3 linked regions of the Caenorhabditis elegans genome follow. The protein of the gene in region 1 interacts with the protein of each later gene in a pairwise test. Each region holds a gene or a part of one and is shown on either strand. Other genes may lie near its edges.

Region 1 (5,764 bases):
AAAAAGTGAATACTTAAAATATTTACGCACCTTTTAAGCTTGAATGAGACAGTTTGTACTTTTGTAAAAAAAAGCCAAAAGAAAATCTGTATTGAAAATTTGAAAGAACTCCCTTTTTGAGTTAGTACTTGTTATAGTTTCCCATTTCAGAGCTACACAGAGATCTTTCTAGATTTATTTATGGCCAGCATTTGGTAATAGATACTGTGGTTCGTTCAATCAAATCTCACTGGCATAATGAGCATCCTCAGAAACCGTTAGTTCTCTCATTTCATGGTGGGCCGGGTACTGGAAAGAACTATGTGACTGAAATCATCGCAAAAAACACTTTTCGGTAATTGTTCAAGATTTTGCATACTTTCTGAAAAAAATGCATTAGTGTTTCAGAAGTGGACTTCAAAGCCCATATGTGAAGTATTTTGTTGCAACAAAGGATTTTCCAAACAACAAACATATAGAGGATTATAAATTGAAACTAAAAGAACAACTAATACAATCTGCCGACGGATGTGATCGATCCATTTTCGTGTTTGATGAGGTGGATAAATTACAAAGTGAACTGGTTCAAACAATCAAACCTTTTCTTGATTTTTATCCAGCCGTTTTTGAAGTTGACTTTCGAAAAACTACCTTCATTTTTCTAAGCAACAAAGGAAGCTCTGAAATTGCGAACATTGCATTGGAACATCGTCGAAATCTTAAAAAACGGTCACAACTCGAGTTGAAGCATTTTGAACGAACACTTATGTCACATGCATTCAATGAGAAAGGTGGTCTACGAAACACTGAATTGATCTCTAATCAGCTTATTGATCATTATATCCCATTTCTTCCCTTATCTAAGTTCTACGTTTCCCAGTGCATTCAAGTACATCTTCGAAAACGCGGAAGACATGATTTGGCAAAGGATGGAGAATTCATGCAAAGAGTTCTCGATTCTCTTGAATTTTTCCCTGAATCTAGCAAGGTATTTTCCTCGTCAGGATGTAAACGTGTAGATGCAAAAACTGAACTAGAAATTTCCAAGATGGGATTCTCACTCAATTCGGAGAAAGAGTTTAATGATGAGTTGTAGTTTTTTTTCTGTTTCAAAATGTCCAGAAATTTGTTTTCATTCTAAGTGTTTAATTTTTTTGTTGATTTAGCAACATTTACAAAATTGAATGAACTCAATGATGAGTTGTAAATATTTCCCCTGTTTCAAATTGTCCATAACTACGTTTTTATTGTATTCATTTTATTATTTAATTTTGCGAGTAGAAAATGATTTTGAACCAGATACTTTTACCTCCACCAGGTACTCCACCTTTCATAAGTTAATTAGTTTTTATTATCTTTGCATTAAGCTTGAACTGTAGTAACTGCTCAAAATAAAATTGAATTGGTACAAAAATGTTTTTGAATAAAATCAGCCCTTTTGAAATGAAAAAGTTCGCTGAAAAATGGTTTCTATTGAAATTTAAATTCTATGTTCAATGTTTCTTTATCTTCAAATTTCGTTATCAGTGCATCAATCTATTTTTCGGTGTGATTTCTCATGGATATTTTGATGTTAGCAAGAATACGCAGATAACAAGCGACATCTTCTGTTCCATTTCATTTTCCTTTACTTCTCACTTGTCAAATATTTTGTTTTATTCTGAAAGAAAGATGCAATTTTTTAAATATATTATTTTCGTTATCATTCTTAATCAATTAGTCGTCGATGTCCACAGCTTATCAATGCCAATGTTTTTAAAATGTTTATTTTACACTTGCTGCGGTGAAACGGATATATTCAATTATCATGGTGAGTAGCAATATTTTAAGAAATTCAGTCAAAATTCAGAACACCATGCAAATTGTTTCTAATGTAAAACACAGCTATATACAAATTTTGAGTTGTGCTCCGTGATAAGGAGCATTTTTCGCACTTTTTTTTTTGATACTTTTGAAAGAAAAACCGTTTATTTTTTAAATATTTTTCTAAACTTTACATTTCAGCGTTATACAAAGATTTCGATAATAAAATTTTCGGGCAGCACTTGATGGCAGAATCTGTAGTTCATTCAATCAAATCTCATTGGCACAATGAGCATTCTCAGAAGCCGCTAGTTCTCTCATTTCACGGCGGAACCGGCACTGGAAAGAATTATGTGACTGAAATTATTGTGAACAATACTTATCGGTAACTTTTCATTGCTTAAAATTTTTTTGAGAAACAAGTTTATGTTTTAGAAGTGGAATGCACAGCCCATTTGTGAATTATTTCGTTGCAACAAATAATTTTCCGAATAAAAAGTATATTGAGGATTATAAATTGGAACTGAAAGATCAACTTATAAGATCGGCCCGAAGATGTCAGCGATCTATTTTTATATTTGATGAGACGGATAAGCTACAAAGTGAATTGATTCAAGTGATCAAACCATTTCTTGATTATTATCCGGCGGTCTTTGGAGTGGACTTTCGGAAAACTATCTTCATTTTTCTAAGCAACAAAGGGAGCAAAGAAATTGCTAATATCGCATTAGAACATCATGAAAATGGTAAAATAAGATCACAACTCGAGTTGAAGCATTTTGAACGAACACTGATGCTTTCTGCATTCAATGAAGAAGGTGGTCTTCGTAACACTGATATGATCTCTAATCAACTTATTGATCATTTTATACCATTTCTTCCCTTATCTAAGTTCTACGTTTCCCAGTGCATTCAAGTACATCTTCGAAAACGCGGAAGACATGATTTGGCAAAGGATGGAGAATTCATGCAAAGAGTTCTTGATTCTCTTGAATTTTTCCCTGAATCTAGCAAAATATTTTCCTCGTCAGGATGTAAACGTGTGAATGCAAAGACTGATCTCGAAATTTCCAAGATGGGATTCTCACTCAATTCGAAGAAAGAGTTTAATGATGAGTTGTGAAAGTATTTTCTCCTGTTTCAAGATGTTGATAAATTTGTGTTCAATATTTTTTATGGTTCGGTGTTCTCTAAGGCTTTAAGTGGTTTGAAGTTCCAAATACTTATTAATTTGTTAATTTATGCATGTTTTTCTTTTTTTTAAATATCATTATCATCCTCAGATGACTCCGCGGAAAAATAGTGGAACGATGGGAATGGAATTCAACAAGAAAACTCAGTGTGAGTTTTTAAAGTTTGTAGAACGCCAAAAAATTTTGTTTTCTTTAATTTTTTAGGCAAATTTAGAATAAATTAAAAAATTGTAAACTTATGCAAAATTAGATTCTAAAATAGGTAGCAATATGTACACAAAAAAGATAGCAAAAAACGTAACGCCTGCTGTAGGTAAGGCCTATCTAAAAATCTACCTACAATGTAATCCGTAGTTTTCTATTCAGAAATGTAACGATTTCCAGATTATTCGCAATGCCAATTCTGCACTTTGAAAATTTGGTCAAACACGGAAATTGTTCTTGCTGGTGGAAATGTAATTTGCAATTTGTGCATTGCCGAAAAAAGCCGTGAGTTTTTTCCCCTAAAAGTCCAGAAATGTAACTATTAACAATATACATGCTACTTCAGATGCCGTTCAATTCGACAGAAAATATATGATCAAAACATTATCAAAGACATTTTCAAGAAAGTGGGAAATCTCGAATAATTTAATAATGACACTGCTGATTCTTTTGCTCTCTGCACTTTTTTTTATATCTCAAGGAACTTTTTCAATGCTTCAAAATGAACCAAACCAGGTTTGATTTTTCCACATAACTTTGTTCCTTTCGACAAATAAATTTGCTTATTTACAGGATCGAAACCCCTACCAAAACTACATAGAATCAGTAAGATCCTTTGTCAATTCGGATTTCTCAGATATTTCAAAAGAAAATCGGAATCTTTTGAGATTAATTGGTGAACAAATGTTTTTACATCCAGATGAACATGCTCCGCTTGTCATAGTTATTGCTGGTTTGAAAGCTAATGAGTTTTCTGAAAAATTAAACAAGGCAATTCAAAATTCTAAATCAGAGACAAATTCAAATAATTTACCAATTGAAATTGGAAATCAACTTGAAAGAGGAGAGCTACATGCAATATTGAACAATGGTTAGTTTTTTTTTAACTGTTTCACCAAGTTCATTAATTTTGGGCATTTTTGACACTTACGTTATATAGTTGTAAATGTATTTTTCCGAAAATCTCTTGAAATTTATTTCACTTACCACTTTAGCTCTCGCATCACAAATGACACCTAGAACAGCAGTCCTGACAAATATTGATCTTCTTGCATGGGATGCAGTTTTAGTGCTCCATGCCTTTGCGGACCATGGAACTTTTCCCATCCCAAAAACTGTACTCCTCCTAGCAGTATCAACAGAAGAAACTACTTATTCTGGGAATAGTTGTGATGGGAAAATTTTGAAGTAAGTGATTTTTATTTTTAAAATAAAAAGCAATTAAATTCCAGGCTTGTAACGAACCGCTGGATCGAAAATGGAGGAAACTATGACAATATTCCACCAATTGTAGCCAGGATTTCATATTTTATGTGCTTATAATAAAAATTATTTGTTTAAAAATTTAGTTTTTGTTTACTTGGAAATTGTGAAAAAATATGGAATTTTTAAACTTGGTTACTGCAATTTTGTTCACCGGGAAAAATTACTGTTTCAAAAGATTTGTTTAATTGAAAATCCTCATGTTTATTTGGTTCCTTTATATTAAAATTTTGATTAGAAAAATATTATTCACGAGAAAACAAAACAAGTTTTTAAGTGTTTCTGTGAAAATTTAGGGCAGATCAAGTGTAGATCACACAAAATTTTAGGGAAAATCTATAGAAATGCACATTTAAATGTGAAATTAGAAGAAGATATAATATGATCTACGTGTGATCTACTCAAATTTTTCTCAGAAACGCTCAAAACCAAAGGCTGACCGCGCGACAAAACGATTTTGAAAAAAAGTCCTCTTCGAACTCAGAGAATTTAAAATTTAAACTATATTTTGTAAACAAAAACAATTCTTTTTCCTGTTTGTTTTTTTCATCATAACTTTTTATCAGTTTTTCCGTTTATCAATTTAGGGTTCAGTTTACGAAAAAAATAAAAATATTTACATCAATTTTAAAGCCTTTTTCTTCAAAAAACTCGTATTCATTGATGACATTTTCGGTTCCTCATTATTAGTTTTTTTTTGCAGTTTTTTTCGGCATTTTCTTCCTCGATTTAATTCCCTCAATTTTGTGTGCACACAAGTGCTTTTTTTTGTGTGCGTGTTTGTTGTGTCTTGCCCCCTCCTCATCCCGTTGCGTCTCCTCAAAACATGACAAGTAGTTGAACGATAGAGCGAACTTGCATCTTTCGATTTCTCGGCTGGTGGGGCGGGCGACGTCGCAGCAGCACGTCTTCTTCTCGATGAGAATATCGATTTTTCATATCCCAACACGCACTTTTCATGTTTCAATTGTGATGGCTTTTCATTGAAATAATCCTTTTTTTACAACTGGGGTTTTTAGCTAAAAATTGGGAATTTTTGAAAAAAAGAAAATTTCACAAAATTGGTCTCTGGCTGGTCTATCGCTTACTAATTGTTTATTTTATAAAAATATTGTTTAGTTTCTCGTCTCACTGACGAAATCCAATCTAACACCATAGAAACTATAAACATTTTGCAATAGGAACTAGTGTTCTATTCGAAAATTGGAAATTTAATTGAATTTTTGATGTAATTTTCAAAAAAAAAGCTTGACTAACTCCGTCTGCGTCTGAACACTTTTTTCTCAAATTTTCCAAAATTTTGCAGTATGGCCCACCTCTCG
Region 2 (9,556 bases), on another chromosome or scaffold:
CCTATTTTAATTTTGGAAATATCACAAATTTCGCGGACCTCGGAGCTATTGATTCAGGATTGTAGAAAAAGTTTATTACACCATAACCACTTACAAACTCTTGTAAGTTTATCGAAGTGGAAAAATTGTGAGCTTTTTGAACAAAAATTAGTTAAGATTAACTCCAAGATACTACTGTAGTGGTACTACCGTAGAGATATTCCGGCGATTTCTTACATTTGGCATAAAAGGTATGTAGCTTGGTTTAGATTCTGAACTTCAGAAGTCAGTGAGATCAAACTTGGGCCGAACAAGTTTTCTTTTGTTGGGCCTACGCTGGCTTGTTGCCAGCTTAGCTGTTTAATGTGGAATTATATGTAGAGAAACCAAAAATGCTCAAAAAGACGCTAGAAAAAAGTTATAAAAATGTTTAAAAACAAAAGCTCGATGTGCCTTGAATTTTAATGCACCCTCATTTATGTACCTCTGACACTTGGACCCAAACTTATAGGGACCTCAAAAATTAGTCTAGCAAAAAGAAATATGGTTATGTATTTGCACCGACCTAGGAACACGAAAATGGTTGGAGATTGTTAAATGAGTACCAACTGAAGTTTGAAGGTGATCTCCCTTTTGTGGCACGTGGTGTCAGAGTGACTCATTTCGTTTTGATCTACGTAGATCTACAAAAAATGCGGCAGAGTACTCAACTGATTTCGCATGGCTAAGAACGTGCTGACGTCAAATTTTTTTGGGCGAAAAAATCCCGCATTTTTTGTAGATCAAACCACAATGGGACAGCCTGGAACAAGGTGTGTGGGTATATTATCTCATTCAGTTCTACTTTGGAACAGGAATTCGAAATGAAGCTGAAAAAAATTGTTAAAACCCCTTAGAAAAGAGGCATGTTAAAAATAAGAATTTTTTAAAAAGTAAGAAAATTCCAGGAACCAAAGTTATTCGGCAAACTTAGAAATTTGCCGGAAATTAACAAATGCTTAAAAAAAATTATAAATCGTGATTGATTACGTCTAAGCTAAAAAAATCTGGTACTGAAAAATCAAAAACCTCAACTTTAAAAACTCGAGGAGTTTGGTAAATTTGATCTACCACGTGAGATAACTTCCGGTACTATGACATGGAGTAAAACAAAACAGTATGTGAATAATAAAGGTTTTCTCATTTTCCTGTCCTCCTCCTCGATTTCCTCAACTACTACCCCATCCCCCCCTAACACTTCTCGCGGAACACCACTGAAGCGTCTGCGTCTCTACACACTACTCCTCTCTCTCTCTCTCTCTCTCTCTCTCTCTCTCTCTCTCTCTCTCTCTCTCTCGACCAGTGCTAAACCTGCCCCCGGGTGCGCCGATTTCGCCCAGCCGTCTCTATTCTCTCTGTCTCTTGTGCCTCCCCCCGTTTTCAACCACTGTCTCTTTTTTTTTGCTGTCTTTTCTCGATTATTATTGCGTACAAAACTGTGAGTGTGTATATCGGACGAAGAAGCGTACGAAATTGAGAAGAACAAGATGAAGACGATTTTCTTGATATATTTTTTGTTGTTCATTTGGGATTAGGAGAGATTTTTTGAAAAACTTTGAATACTCTTATATTTTCTGGCTCTATGAAATTGCGCTTTTTTTAAAGCTTCGACTGATATATTCCAATTTGAGTTTTTGCATAAAAATTTACAAAAACTAGATTTACACTAGATTTGAAATTTTCCTTGTTAATGACTAATTTTCAGTTAAATTCACGGTAAATTCCTTAGAATTTGAATTAATCGTGTTTTTCTACCTCAAATGATTTACAAAAAATTATTATAAATTAGGATGTTTTTTTTTGTTGAAAAACCAAGCAGTTATTTTATTTGACAAGTTTTTTTAATATTTAAATTAAGAAAATTATGGATTTTCTTTTGAAAAATTTCATCATAAAATACGGTCATTTGATGTAATTTTGAGTATATTTAAGCAAAAATTGAATTATTACCTAAAATTTGAAAAAAAAATTGGGTTTTTTTCTGTGTAATTTATTATTTTTCCCATGATCTAAACTTTTTTTTCAAATTTCGGCTTATGCTACATTTGAAAAAATCCTCTCTAAAAATGGGGGAAATTTAAAAAAAATGCAAGTTGTTCAAAATTTCTCAAAAAAACTAAATTAGTTCGACTTTAAAAAAAATTAAAATTAAAAATTGGTTTTTGTTATAGATTAGCTATAAAATTTTTTTAAATTCAACAATAAATAATTTTTTGAAAAAAAAACCAACAATAACTAGTTTGGCAGACATGGTGCATCGACAAAAAATCTTGGTTCTTTTTAAAGAATACTAAGTAATTTGAAACGAATATTTTGTTAGTTGACAATTTTTAAAAAAACTGTCAAAGTTAGGACAGACATGGTGCATCGTTTGAAAATTGAAACTCTTATTATTTGGCAACTTTGACCTATCTTAATTAATTTTTAAACTATAATTCGATAATTTTTCGAGAAAACCAGAAATAAGCAAGATGATACTTGAAATATTGAAACTGTTAACTTTGTTAGTGTGAAATTTGCCATTCTTCATGCGTCTTTAAACTTGGATTACTGTAATTCTTCATCCAATTTTTGATCTCTCATTTCTCTCTCAGTTAACGTAACTGTCGCCTAATCTCTTTATTTCCCTTATACAGCTAACACTTACACACCTCCCCCTCCCCCCATTCACCTTTCAACGAGAGAGTGCGTGAGAGAGAAGATACGCAGAGAAAGAGGGGAAAGATAGGCAACCGCCGGGCATGGAGATGTCTCTGTATGTGTCCTAATTAGTACCCCCACAAGACAGACATTTGATACTTTTGTTTTTAGAAGATTTGCTTTTTCTTACTTTTCTTGTTAGCGGGTTAGCGTAATTAGTTTAAAAAATGTTTTCCTTGGATTCTTGGGTTGAAAATCGATTTTTCTTCCTACAAAGGAAAAATGTTCCGTTTGTTTTTAACTTTTTACGGCATTTGGGCTTTGGCCTAGTTTAGGCCTATATCCTAAGCTTGGGATTTGGCTTGCATTTTTGAAAACAAAAAAAAAACTTCTTATTGCAGGTAAACCTTACACATATTTAATGGAAGAAGACTCACGGGAAGACGATTTCAATGGGAAAATTCGACGCAGCTTATGTGGTAAGTCTTATTTGTTGGGAAGTCAAAAAAAAAAAAAGAAATAAAACTTAAAATTGTCAATTACAGAATGGCTTGGCCCATTTGAAGAGTTTCATGATCGGGTAGCAAAGAATCAGCAGACTTCACGGCACGGGTTGATCAGGGTGAGCATTTTTTTTGGAAGATATAAAAAAATGTTAAATTATACAAAATAAAGAAAAAATGATTAAAATATGTTGTTAGTTGGAAAAAATTACTTTCCGGCAAACCGGCAAATAGTCGATTTGCCGAACTTGCCGGAAATTTTCGAAAAAAAGGTTTTGCAATTATTTTTTTGGAAATTTCCGAATTTCAATTTCAAATTACAAAATTAAACGCATCCTATGAATGCTTCTGCATCTATTTTGAAAAGTAAGCAATTTCTATGAAAATATCTACATAGAAAAAAAGGAAAAATTCTAAATGACAAGTTTTAAGTGTTGCCGTGTGAAAAAATCTCTCTAGACATTTCCGGCAAATCTGATATCTGGCAAACGGCAAATCGTCAATTTCCGGCAAATCGGCAAATTGGCAATTTGCCGGAATTGAAAATTTCCGGCAAGTTGGCAAACCGGCAATATGCCGATTTGGAATTTTTGTACAGCTAACATAAAAAATGTATTTTAACGTGTGCTTCAAAAAATAAATTTATAACTAAATTTAACGTAAAAAATATATCAAAAATTTCCAAATTAAAAAAAAAAACTTTATTTCGAAATTTTCCCGTTAAATTTCCAGTTGTCTCAAAATTGTGTGAATTTTTGCAGAATTCTACTTAAATATAGGTATTCAAAACGTTTTTTTACATGAGTTTTCCAATTTTTGGTAAAAATCAGCAGGGATTTTTTTTCGAAAAACCTTTTTTTCAAAAACATTTTTCCAGTCTAAAATGAAGCCCCGCCCATCTCCATTTGTCACGTTACAAGCTCCGCCCCACGAATCGCCAAGTCATGTGCCTGTCCACGTGGCGCTTCAAAGTATGAAAAATCTGGTTGATGAGAGAATCACTGAGATTACACATCATGAATTTGCTGATTTGAAAAAAGGAATGAATAATGTGAAGAGCAGTGCCACGTCATCAACGGATAAAAAACGAAAAATTGGAGAAGATGAGGATAGTCAGATTGAAGTGAAACGGAAAAAGGAATCCAGGAATTGTAAGTTTTTTTTGTGGAAAAAAACAATGGACGGAAAGTTTGACCTACGCAAAATTGCGGGAAAATTCCATTAGCAGTATGTAGCGTCACACGTGTTTCACAAATACACGTGGCGTCAGAGTGTCTCAATTCGGCTTGATCTACGTAGATCTAAAAAAATGCGGGTGGAGAGACGCAGAGTTCTCAACTGATTTCGCATGGTTGAAAAAATTCCCGCATTTTTTTGTAGATCAAACCGTAGTGGGACAGCCTGGCACCATGTGCAAATATAAGTTTGGCGGGAAATTTGAAGTGAAAATTTTATTTTTTGAAATAGTTGGCTTTTAATAAAAATATTTTTGGCGTGAAAATTGATCTACAAAATTGGCTGGAAAATTATTTATATACTGTGTGACGTCACAAGCGGTTTCAGAAATAAACGGAAGTTTGAATTTATTGAAAATATTTGTATTTGAAAAAATAATAAATTTTCCAGACATTCCCCCTTCAACACCGGATTCGGGTACTCACTCCACCGAAAGTGATATGATCGAGGAGCCGAATTCTGATGAGGTGGCTGCGATGCTCAGTATCATGAAAACGTAGGTTTTGGGTCAGCCTAGCAGCCATAACATAGCCACATATGAATACCTACAAAAATTGTATTTGAATATTCAGTACATATAAAAATCTAAAATTTCAGACTGGACACTCCGAAACTCTCGCCGCTTCCGAAAGACTTCAAAGTGGTGTGCAAGGAAGATGAGCAACCAGGACCCTCTTCATCCAAATTCCCATCGGACAGTTCAGTATCAGCTGCCTCGACATCTCGGGAGTCCACACCGGAGCCCAAACTCTTGGGTACTCTTCGGATAAAGGCTCTGAAGCCAGAACGGGTGCAGAAGCTCATTGAGCTTGCGAAGACCCGAGGGAAGCTGACGGATGTTGTGGAAGTTGAGAAGAAGGTTGTGGAGAAAGTGGTTGAAAAACAGGAAAAGAGAGTTCTGGAACCTCTTCCACCTCCACCAAGGCCCCCATCGGTTCCAGCGGTCCCTGCGGTACCCACACCTTCTAGAGACCCAATACTTGGCCCAGGATCCGGATCCGCTCGGAATTCTCCACTGCCGCCACAAAAACCCGCCAACAAAACGGTTCAGAGTCTTCAAGGGCTTCAAGGTTCCAGTCGAACGATGAGCCCATCACCAAGAAACATCCGATCAACCACTCCATCGGTACCATCAAGGCCCCCATCTGCTCTGTCTACTCACAGCCATGTGGAAACGGAGGTGGCCGCAGTGGCAACCACGTCGGCGCCAGCAGAAGCATCGGCGGCAGTAAAGCCGAGATTTGTGTGCCAGTGGTCACATGCGAGATTGAAAAAAGCCCAGCGAGTTCCGTTTCCAGGTGAGTACCTACTTCTTAGATTTAGGTTTAGTCTTAGGCTTAGGCATAGGCTTTGGCTTAGGCTTAGGCTTTGGCCTATACTTAGGCTCAGGCTTAGGCTTTGGCGTTGCCTTAGGCTTGGGCTTTGCCTTAGGATTAGGCTTAGGAATAGGCTTAGGCCTTAGCTTAGGCTCAGGGTTAGGATTAGTCTTAGACTCATTCTTAACAATAGGCTTAGACTTTGGCATAGGCGTGGGCTTCAACTTAGGCTCAGGCTCAGGCTTAGGCTTAGGCTATGGCTCAGGCTTCGGAGTAACGAAAGTCAAAATTGGGAACGTAGCGTCTAACTTCCAATCGATGCACCATGTCAGGTTAAAACATTTATTTTTCGATTTAACCAATATTAACAGAGACAAAATATTACGACGTTTTCCTGTTTTGTCGATGTACCATGTCTGTCTTAACTTTTACAGTTTATACCTCGGCTCGCTTTAGGTTTATCAAAAAATTTTCAACTGACAAAATATTTATGGTTTCTTTTTCTACATATTTCCAGTTATAAATCTATCAATATTTTCAAATTGAACCAAGATATTTTCCTCCAAACCCAGTTACATTTTTCAGACCCTTCATCAACCTCCACCAAGACAAAAGGAGAGTTCTATCATGCTTTGGCAAAGGACTGGAAGTCAAAAGCCGACAATAGCAAGGATCGTGTGACTCGTCCCCTCAACTACATGCTCTCCAGTGTATTTTTTGTACTTGAAGCCATCTGGAAAGCTGACAAGGAGCGGACAACTCAATCCAAAATGCAATGCGCTTCGATCTATCGGGACACTTATGAGCTTCTAGGGTTAGTTTCTGGGACTTTGGGATTTTTTAAAAATTGATGAATAATTTCAGAGTCGCCGTGTTTCAAGGTGTCCGCGACACCGACGATTCCCTGGCGGTTCACATTTTGCCACGTGTCAAAGTGATCGGTCAGGTGATGCTAGCTGTGATGCAGTATCAGATGTATATTTTTAGATCAGAGGTATGTTTTTTTTTCCTTAAAATAAAACTTCAAAAGTATACAAGCACTCTGAACTGGAGAAATTCTGAAAATCTGAAAATTCAGGTTCTGAAAAAAAATCCGATTTATCAACACTAATATTCTAAATTCTAAATTCTAAATTCCAAATTCGAAATTCTAGCAAGCAATAAAAACAATGTCACGATTGGACATGCGAGAAGTCTCCGAATCCATCGACATTCGACCGGTGTCCCGTGCATCCGACTCCTCGTCAGTTCATTCTCAGCATCTAACAGTCCCCACAAACAAAGCGGTGACGTCAGTGGCTCACGGGACCCCCAAACCATCCCCGTCCGCCGGATCGACACCATCTGGTCCAACTGGGGCACCTGTAATCCCATGGATCGCCAGCATTCAGGCTTGTCAGAATATGGTAAGGTTTTGTGGAAGTAGACAATTTTTTTGATTTTTTTGCAGAGGAAATCAATAAAATCGGATAAAAATAGTAGGAAATGTTTTTAAAAAGTCTTCAAAAAGATAAACTGGGACTAAGCTAAGGCTTAGGCTTAGGACTAAGCTTAGGACTGAGCACAAGCCCAGGGACTAAGACTAAACCTAAGCCTAAGCTTAAACTTTTGCTTTATCAAAAGTATGTTAATTTTTATGAAAAAAAACATGGATTTTGAAATTTTTTCTGTGACCATGTCCCAAATTTTTTTTCTAAAAAGTTGATTTTCCAGGTCTCAATGCCCCAAATTGTCTACGATGCCTACAAATCGCAGCTCAAAACTGCCAACGGGTTGATGTTGGCCAGTAGATATTGGGAAGACTCGAAAACTCTGTCAAATATTATCGATTCAGGAACTTTTGTCAAAGAGTAAGTGACAATATGATAGAAAGTGTTATGTTAGTTATTTTTTGTCAGTTGATAATTTTTGATAGAGCCAGCTCATTTTGCTCACATTTTGGTTCATGTTGAAAATATTAGAAAATTTGTAATAACGGCTTAACCAAGACTAACCACAGTTTTTAAATATAATTTTAAATTTTTCAGCGTTGAATCTATCGTCGGAAAATCCATCTCAATGGACATGCAATTCGCCGATCTTGCCACATTTGTGCTCACCGCCGTCGGAAGCCTGAAGGCCGAGTACGAGGAGGAGCAGAAGCAGCCGGCAAAGCCAATTCTGGCAAAAGTCAAGAAGGGCCTGGACTTGGCAATCAGGACGGGAACTTTTCATTCTGATAGGCCACCTCCAGTGCACCGCCCGTCAAATAACACTCCCGATGGAAAAGCTCGTCGGAAGCAATAATTTTGTCTTTTTTTTCTAGGCTGGTCCCCCCCCCCCATACTTGATATCACGGTTGTCTTGTGCATTTGAGCTTTGGGCTAGTTTAGGCTTAGGCCTAGACACTACCAAGCTGCACGGACCGTTATTTTTCCCCTCATTTGTTTTTTCTAGGCCGGTTCCCATACTTATTATCACGGTTCTCTTTGTGTATTCCATGCTCTTTCCAGTTCTCCTCTCTAGTCACACTGAGACTTATGAGTGTATACATTTTCCAATTTTAATTATTACTATTTCACTCTTTCTCTCCTGTTTCATATGAAGATACATTATTTGAATTTTAATTATGGAGTGCCCCCACACCTGATCAAGAGACGGCACATAGCAACGGGGGTCGGGTGAGAACTCCGGTGGGACTTTGACACATTGGATACCCGCGCGCACTTTTTCTTCTTCTCCTATTCTACATTTTCCCAGGCTTTGTTGTTATCTTTTGCCGAGCAGCACCCGAATATGAAATCGGTGAGTTTGAGCAGCAATCTGAGGATTTCTTGTATTTTTGGGATTCTTTCATTTCTGGCGATCAGGATTTCGGTCAATTGCCAGAATATCAGATATGCTGCAAATTTTCAAATAGGTCCCTACAAAAATTTAGTCCTTATATCATGCTCCCAACTTTGACCAACCTTTAAATAAATTCCCGAGTTTCAGTACTTTTATGCGGCATAGGTAATCTACCCATAACTCAAATTCCAGGGCAAACCAAAACTTCCGCATACTTCACGTTCATTGAGCCCCGTGGGTTGTCTCCGTACCCGTAGAATGCTTGAAGAAATGGCCGGCCTCGTGGGAACTAAACCATTGAGCCAGCTTCCTCGAAGATTTGAGGACCTACAAGATGATTCAACGGCTACCTCACCATCCTCTGACAGGTGGAATTGGATGGAAGATGAGAAGTCTAGTTATGGTAAGTCAGTGAACTGACCGACTGTTTTGTTTTCAACTGTACTTTACATGACAGTAAACTTCTGAGTTTGCCTATTTTTAGTCCTGGCGTGGTTTTTTTCAGCGCCGGCATTGCTCCTAATTACTGAAAAATATGAAAAGTCTGAGCAAGTTGCAGGCCTAATTTTGCAAACTTAAATAGACAGCATTTTCTCCTCGGAAAGTTAAATTTTACCATTCACATCTTACCGAGCCGCAAAGGCCCCCACGCACCCTGGGTCTAGGGCACAGGGTCTTGGTCCAAAGTGCGAGGGGCGACAAAATCCGAAGCTAGCTACATGCATGTCAAATGCTCAGGAACCGGCGATCCTTTGCCGCTCAAGCATCGAAATCTTTATATTTTCAGAAAGCCTCTCACTGACTCCATTCTCCTCTGTTTCCCCCAATACCAGTAAGAAGTCTGCAACAGGGTAAGTTGTAGTAGGCTAGGGGTGGCGATAGGTAGCGTGGTCTCAGGCTGTCCCATTACGGTTTGACCTACAGAAAATGCGGGAATTTTTTCCTCAAAAAATGTGACAACGGCACGTTCTTAACCATGCGAAATAAGTTGAGAAGTCTGCGTCGAAATTCTCGCGA
Region 3 (7,442 bases), 6.1 Mb from region 1:
CTTCTCTGTTGCTAATATGACGAAATATAATAGGAAAACTTTTCAAAAAATGTTGGATTTTGTTTATTCAGTCAAAAAGCGAAGCAACGCAAAAAGCGAAGCAAGCGAAGCGTAGCTTTTTTGGATGTCGTCGATCAAAAGTAATTTTTCCAATTTTTGTTCTAAAATATTTATATTAAAACAGTCAGGAGGGAGGCTCTAAATTGCGACATTGCTTTAGTTTTCACGAAAAAATGGTACGAACATAATTTATGTCGCTTTTTGTCTGTGAATAAACATTTTTTAAACAAAAAATTGCAGTTTTCCATGATATTTGATAACGTTTGCCAACACATTCAATTTTTAAACTTCTGGTAAGAAAAAACTTTTAAAACTTACAATACAACTGGAGGAACTACAAATATTTTTCCATTATTCGGAAATAGTCTTTCTTTGCAAAGTGTCTCAATATCCGGTTTTTCTCCTTCTTCTGACGCTTCCCATTTTGTCCAATTTTCGGCCCGTTCCTTATCCAGACAAATGAGTGATAAACTAAGCGTTTCGATAAGTTTACACGCCTAAAACATATCTTCAGTTATTGAGTTTTTTCAAGTTTTAGATATTTACATCAATATCTTGCCAATCGTTTTCTGTAATTGCTCGTCTCTCTCCATTTAATTCTGCAATTTGACCATATTTCTCCATTTGCTCCCGAACTCTTCGTTCAAGTTGTCGGCCACAAATCGAGCGAGCTGATTCGAACTCATTCAGCATTGTCACACCTTCGATAATCTGAAAAAAATACAATTTGCAATAAATCATAAATAGAAATTTGAATTTCTAAAAAAAATTTAACTGTTTAAAATTGTAGATGGTAAAAAATTACTCTTTTGTTGATTTTTTTCTAGAAATATTTTCTTATGCTCTTCAAAAATTAAAAATAAGAACTAACTGGAACTGCGATACATTCTGAATGTCCAATATCGACAACGAGAGCATTTTGAGTATTGAATGGAAATGTGGCACAAACATGAGATGGCATGAACATTAGAGATTTGCAACGAATCTTTTCGACAACAATTTTGGTGATGGTATTGCGGAGGGATTCTGACATGAAAATGCTTTCCACAAATATCACTGGACGGTCAGTGGGAGCCAAAACTCTAAAATCCAAGCTTTAAGTTAATCGAGGCCAGAGAGGCTCACTTTAAAAATACAATCCTCAAGAATTTATAGAGAATTTCTTCGTAGTACTCGGTGGACTTTGTAGCAGTCTTCCGATTGTTTAGAGCTAATAATTCATCAGAAGTTATCAATTTTCCTTCATCATCGACGTATTCTGTTCGGATAATATGTCGAGGTGTTATTTCTCCGGCACATCCAATTCTAAACATAGTAAAATTATGAAATTTAAGAACAGTGGAACTCAAACTTCGTTAACTTGCTTCCAATCTCAACCACAACTGCACTTTTTCCATTATCGATTGAACTGATAGCTTGAGATAAAGTTGTCGATGAAAGCGAGATTGATTGATTTGAAACTCCCGACGAACTCCGTCGAGCCGCCTTCAGCGACTCCAACGTTGATTGAGCAGTTGATGCCAGTTTGAACACTACAATATTGATTTTAAGATGATTTAATCTTAAAAAGAAAGGAGTAATTACGAATGTGGCACAATAAATAATGATTGATTCGTCTAATTAAAGTAAAATCTTGATAAAACATTAAAACAAAAAAGTCGTTCTCAATTGAGCGCTTACCGTATACGTGTGCAAACACCATGTATCTTCTATTGCGTACCGCGCGCAGTATATTACGCGCAAAGTTTTTGCGACTCTGAGTGACGTCACCAGACATTTTCTTATCGCTTTCTCGTTTACCGCCAGTTTAAATAATTATTTTATCACTTTTTATAAGTTTTTATCATTTCGCGTAATTACAGTAATCTTTTTATTAAAGGATTTGTTGCTTGATAGTGAACTAAAATAGGTTAACTTTGATTTTTAATGAGAGAGACATCATCGATTGCAGGTTTAGATTAGTTGTATCCATTTCTCTGACTCGAAATCTCTTTTTGCGTACTAATTTTTCAAAATAACCATCGATCTTCATCCAGATTTGAGGAAAATTCCTGTTTATTATTTTCAATATCTGGAAGGCTAAATAGAAAAAATGTTTGACTCGTTTAGGAATCCTAAATTTTGGAGATATAAAATTTGCGTCTTTCAATATTCAACTATTTGGGATATGATTTCCTTTTTTGCAATTATGGATTCTTACTAGAAAAACTACCAGACTCTGGCAAACATTCTCCTCCGCCTTGTTTGCTTTTTTCGTTGCTGGTCATCTTCAACAAACAGTGTACTTAAGCTCAGCATCACCACCGTGTTTTTTCATGGTGAAAACAACCCAGTTAAAATGGCTGAACAAGATGTTTAGATTTTTCTCGATAACATCTGATTGTGTAGGTCACCTTTACAAAGTTCATTTGAACTTTTTGCTATATCGTTATTCGAACGGATCTTCTCTCTTAACATAAAAGTTCCTTGCAATAGATATCGTTCAAAACGAACCAAGTGTCATCACTTGGAGCGGAGCCAGTAGAGCCCTGCTCTCGACATGTGAGAGCCCGGTCGCAAGGCATAGGGAATGACAACATTTCGTCTGCGTCTCCACCTCTTCAAGCAATCACTGTGAAATAGAAGCACACGAAGTTACACACTTGAATCCCTTTCTCTATATCCCTCGGTCTCTAGTTCTTCAGTTTATCCACGTTCAACGTCTGCTTTTTCTTCTTCTGCATCGACTTCGTGTTTTTTTCTCCAGAAATTTCGAAAACGTTTCAAAAATAATTTTTCCAGACTTCTGCTTCACGGCGTTTGCCGTGTTTCTTTCACGATGCCAAATTTACTCGATGACAGTTTTGATCCAACTTTTCAATCAACATCAAAAGTGAGTTTTAATTCCACAAGGAACATAAAATTGTAAGCAAAGTTTGTATACTCTAATTTTTAATATTCACAGTCTCAAATTATTCTAAGATTGCAAATTAACGCTCATTTTCCGAGTGATTGAGCCACACCCAAAGTTTTGAAAATATATAATTTATCAGTAATTAACCAAAAACTTCTACAATGTTCAGAAATTGGTACTTCCGTCTATTCGAAAGGTTCAGCCCGAATATGACAATCTTCCCGAAGAGCAGGGGGTTAACGATTTCTCAAGTGATGAACTGATGAAATTGCTCTCGTTCATGGAAGGTGAAGTTCAAGCAAGAGAAGATGTCATTGATCATCTGAAACGTGAAAGAACGAAAATTCTACTATCCGAAGCTAAATATGGAAAACTAAATATGAACGATCCATTTGCTGCGTTGCGACGAGATTCGGCAATTACTGGCGAACAGATTGATGAAGAGAAGATTGTTCAAATGTACGAGTCACAAGTGGATCAGTTGGATAAGATGATGGCAGTGCAAAAGCAATCGCAAAGAAATGCGGCTGTGGTAATTAAATTTTTGTGCAGCTCCCTCTATTTACACCAATCAAAAAAGTTTTCAGCTGTTGGTTGCGCTGGAGAAGAAGCAATATAAACTCGTGAAAAAGTTGGAGGCGGATAGAGAAGCTAAAATAAGGTGAGTTATATATTACGAAATAAGAAAATACCTTAATAAACATTATAACTCGACTCATACGCCTAAAATTTAGAACAAATCTTTAGGTACGCGAAACAAGGAGATGATTTGGTCGCTCACTTGGAAAAAGAACGAAATCAACTTCAACAACAAATTGAATTTCATATTGAGGAGAAACGCAAAGCCGAAATCGCAAAGGATAAAATGGAAATGACACTTGGAAATGAGAAAAAACGTCACGAATCAATCGTTTTGTATTTGATACAAGAACGCAAACAAATGCTTTTAAAAATGCACGAATTAAGAGTGAAAGCCGAACAAATTATGCTTCAAAATCAAAATGATCCTACCAAACGTGAGTTAACTGCAAAATAAGTTTTTTTAGTTCAATAAAACTTTCAGCTGGTCCATCATCAGCGTTAAGTGAACGCGAGCTTATTGAGGAGCTGAAAAAAGAAGTCACGTTTTTACGAGCAGAACGGGAATCGCTCACAAAAACTCAGAAAATGGTGAAAACTGAAAATCTGAGCCTTCGAGAAACAGTTCGTGGACAAGAAGCCGATCTTCAGATGCTTCGACGGAATCTGACGTTAACTGGAGCAAAAATGTCAATTGATAAGCCTGGGAATGTAGTGAGTTTTGTTTCAAATTTTCAATTTTCCTGAAACGGTCATAGAAATTTGGTTTATCGATGTCTCTAAATGTCAAAAGAATTGTTTTAAATTAGCTCTTGACAAATGCAAAAAAGTTGTAACTTTTTACTTATTACATGATATTTCCCATCTGCATTTTCTTTTATCAGTTGAACATAATAAGACAACCTTCACATAGTTGATTGCACTCATGATTAGCAAAATTTAGCTCTCAAAACAAGTTATGGAATTTCCGCATTTCATATTTTATGTTATTGCAGCTACCTCAACTTCCACCCGACACAGGATCCCTAATAATGGCGAATCGAGGTGCAAAACCAGCAGTTAATAGACAACAGCCAGCTCCTCCTCCTGTAGCTCGTCTTCCAAATTCAGCAACATTTCCAACTGAAAAGAGTCGACTTCCAAGAGCTCCACCTCCAGCTGTAACAACACCGGTCCCTCGAATGAGTATTGGAAGTTTGCCGGCATCTAGTTCTAATGTGTAAGATTTCTGACTACAATCAATTTTGATATTGCTATGTCACTGCAATCTGCCAAACTCAAACAAATTACAGTACCATGAAAACTTTCAGACCTCGCACAATGAGTTCGCCAGTGAAAAAGACACCAGTTATGGGTGTTTCCTCCACAGCAGTCCGACGCCCTCAGTCCGCAGCAACTACTACAATGCCAACTACCTCAGTTATAACAAATACATCTGCTGTGATGCCACTGTCGCCTGATCTCGAACAGCTGGAGGCTGCCATACAATCTATGAATGGTACGTTTTTTTCTTTGATTTTTCAAAACTTTCTGCACATTCTTATTTAATTTGGCAAGGCTTTATATTATTGTGTTAGTCTTTTCGTAGTTATGTCATTCTTCAGTTGTTACCGCCAGTCCCCCCGCATATTCAACTGCCATGGCCAAACGGAGTTCAAGTCTTCCGAGAGAAGCAAATAACAATCCACCAGGAGCTCCAATCCGTAGAAGCACGATGAACGGTGGAATGCACACATCTACGACGGGAGTCGTTAGCACTAGAATTGGCATGTTTTTGTAGTTATAGACTTGTGTTTTCTCGTTTTTTTTTTCAAGATGGCAGTTACCTTGAAAGAGCTGAAAGACAGTAGTAACTATGCAATCACTTGTAGTTTTGCGCTCAAGAGTATTGTTTTTGGTTTTCGGTATTGGGAAATTTCCATTTAGAAAACAAAATCATTCAGTCTTTGTAGGTGGAATATGAATGCAAATTGTGTCTGACTTTAAAAACTACTGCAGTTTTAAACTTTCTGCGGGAGTTTCATCGGTTCTTCAAACGTTTTTTTCTAGATTTGTTAAAATTTATGTGTTTTAAAAACTGGTTTTTTAATAAGTTTATTTTTATCGGAACCCTATGAAAAATCTATGAAAATTCCGCAGCCACACAAGTTTGAACTCACAGTACTCGCTAAAAGAGCATACCCTCCTTTTTTAGCAGACAGTTTTCGTTTCGAGACCGGGACCGTATTTTTAGCGCGAAAATCTGAAAATTTCGCATCCGGATAATACGAAAATGAATAAAAATAAATTTTAATATCTACATTTCTTAACTCCTACATTACTTATTCTGTTTTAATATGTTTCTTTTTTCAGCCGGACCTTCGTCAAACGTGGCAAGTGAACGAAAACTTTCTGGAACTGTAAAGCGGAACGGAATTCTCGCAAAAGCGTTTGGATCATCGAAATGATATTTTATATTCAAAATCTTAACTTACCTATCTGCACTTCTACCTAACAAACATTCATGGGTATTACGATTCTCTCATTCTTTCAGTTTTTGCTCAATTTTCTTACAATGTTTTATCGCACTTTTCATCATTTTCTTACTTGTTTGTTTATAGTTTTCATTTCGTGTAAAATCAGATCAAATTAAATATTGCACGTATAATGAAAATATTAAATTCGAGATATATTGTTCATTTAAAAAAAAGACGAAATCTAGTTTATAAAAGTCAGAAAAGATCCGTGAAATGATTGAAGCCTAGTGGTAGAGGAACGAGCGAGGACTTGTAATATTTTCGTTTTAAAAAAACAAAGTCTATTTTCACGAATGAATAGTACAAGTAGGGCACAAATGAGGAGGGGGAAATAGAATGAAAAGACGATATGGACCCGTCTATGGTCGATTTTCCAATAAGGAAAAGGGGTATTTCATGATGAGCATGTTCTACTAATATTGATGGATGCGAATTTGTCAAGAATATCATTCTTTAAACTATTATATTAAAATCAAAGTGTTCCGAATGTGAGGCAAAAGAAAAAAATGTGATCGAAAAAGATTTGGGGCCCTGGAAAGTGCAAAAAGAGTGAGATGACTGGTTGGATGGGTTGGAGCCAACTGAAAATAAGGCAAAAAATAAGAAAGAACTAGACGATTCATAAGAGGCACTGGATGAAGATGTCGCGGGACAAAACACGAAAGAAAATTGGAAAAAAGCATCAAATATAATTTGGTGTGATGATTGTAGAAAGTGAACTGTCGAGAAGACGTCGAGCCGCGTATGCTTCTTTGAAGATCGATGACCCAGTGTACTGAAATTACGAAAAAAATAAAATTTTTAATTTTTCAAGTTTAGTATAGGTGTTGGCGGCGAATCTCCTCGGCCAATTTACAAAACTTTTTAAGATTAAAATAAATGTAGAAATCATTTGCCGACAAAATTTATACACCATTACTTTCATAAATGGCATGTTTCAAGTAGTTTTTGATATTGTTTTCAAGTTTTTCAATAAAAATAAATTTTATTTCCAAACTAATCAAGTTTTTTTTTCTATATTTTTTTCAATTTCAAAAATTTTTTATCATATCGTAATTTCGCGATATTTGGGAATGTCGTTTTAAGATACACGCTATTTTTCAAATGGGTCTCGGAACGATCTCAGTCATAATGTCTGCTATAGCGCTACAGAAGCCAAATAGTGCTGATTTGTTTAATTTTTGGATTGCAAAAATGAAAGTTTTCAAGTAATTATATTAGCGAGCACTTACTCGGTTAGTCACATGATTTTTTGTGTTGAGGACAGTGTTGAGATCAGATTGCCAACTTGGTTCCCCGTGATCATCCATTTCAATCCGAGGACACCAACGTTCATGATTGTGAATCGGATCAAATTTGTTTCCGCACCTGGAAATGGAAAATTGGAAAAATAG

The links. The genes of interacting proteins can lie anywhere in the genome.
Region 2: the proteins of gei-18 (region 1) and affl-2 interact in a two-hybrid assay, tested with the Caenorhabditis elegans proteins (one large-scale study listed by BioGRID).
Region 3: the proteins of gei-18 (region 1) and cbpl-1 interact in a two-hybrid assay, tested with the Caenorhabditis elegans proteins (one large-scale study listed by BioGRID).

Annotation. Positions count from the first base shown.
Region 1 is NC_003282.8:13,979,825-13,985,588, reverse strand, and holds gei-18 (GEX Interacting protein), read left to right. Parts: upstream 1-3,063; 5' UTR 3,064-3,065; coding exon 3,066-3,123; intron 3,124-3,359; coding exon 3,360-3,464; intron 3,465-3,525; coding exon 3,526-3,695; intron 3,696-3,752; coding exon 3,753-4,050; intron 4,051-4,112; exon of another isoform or gene 4,113-4,133; intron 4,134-4,174; coding exon 4,175-4,367; intron 4,368-4,411; coding exon 4,412-4,502; 3' UTR 4,503-4,527; downstream 4,528-5,764. Other genes in the region: tor-1 (Torsin), read left to right, coding at 151-334, 388-1,075; tor-2 (Torsin), read left to right, coding at 1,729-1,789, 1,984-2,167, 2,218-2,905; dnbp-1 (SH3 domain-containing GRB2-like protein), read left to right, coding at 5,750-5,764.
Region 2 is NC_003281.10:431,832-441,387, forward strand, and holds affl-2 (AF4/FMR2 C-terminal homology domain-containing protein), read left to right. Parts: upstream 1-3,059; 5' UTR 3,060-3,079; coding exon 3,080-3,137; intron 3,138-3,203; coding exon 3,204-3,280; intron 3,281-4,038; coding exon 4,039-4,312; intron 4,313-4,787; coding exon 4,788-4,893; intron 4,894-4,994; coding exon 4,995-5,695; intron 5,696-6,298; coding exon 6,299-6,527; intron 6,528-6,577; coding exon 6,578-6,707; intron 6,708-6,867; coding exon 6,868-7,119; intron 7,120-7,426; coding exon 7,427-7,563; intron 7,564-7,740; coding exon 7,741-7,999; 3' UTR 8,000-8,311; downstream 8,312-9,556. Other genes in the region: affl-1 (AFF-Like homolog), read left to right, coding at 8,489-8,497, 8,732-8,942, 9,327-9,390.
Region 3 is NC_003282.8:7,900,899-7,908,340, forward strand, and holds cbpl-1 (Cortactin-binding protein-2 N-terminal domain-containing protein), read left to right. Parts: upstream 1-2,841; 5' UTR 2,842-2,878; coding exon 2,879-2,932; intron 2,933-3,122; coding exon 3,123-3,485; intron 3,486-3,540; coding exon 3,541-3,614; intron 3,615-3,700; coding exon 3,701-3,969; intron 3,970-4,016; coding exon 4,017-4,246; intron 4,247-4,527; coding exon 4,528-4,751; intron 4,752-4,842; coding exon 4,843-5,030; intron 5,031-5,136; coding exon 5,137-5,298; intron 5,299-5,884; coding exon 5,885-5,979; 3' UTR 5,980-6,197; downstream 6,198-7,442. Other genes in the region: arp-11 (Actin-related protein 10), read right to left, coding at 379-557, 607-771, 932-1,142, 1,186-1,373; npp-27 (C3HC-type domain-containing protein), read right to left, coding at 6,731-6,823, 7,281-7,416.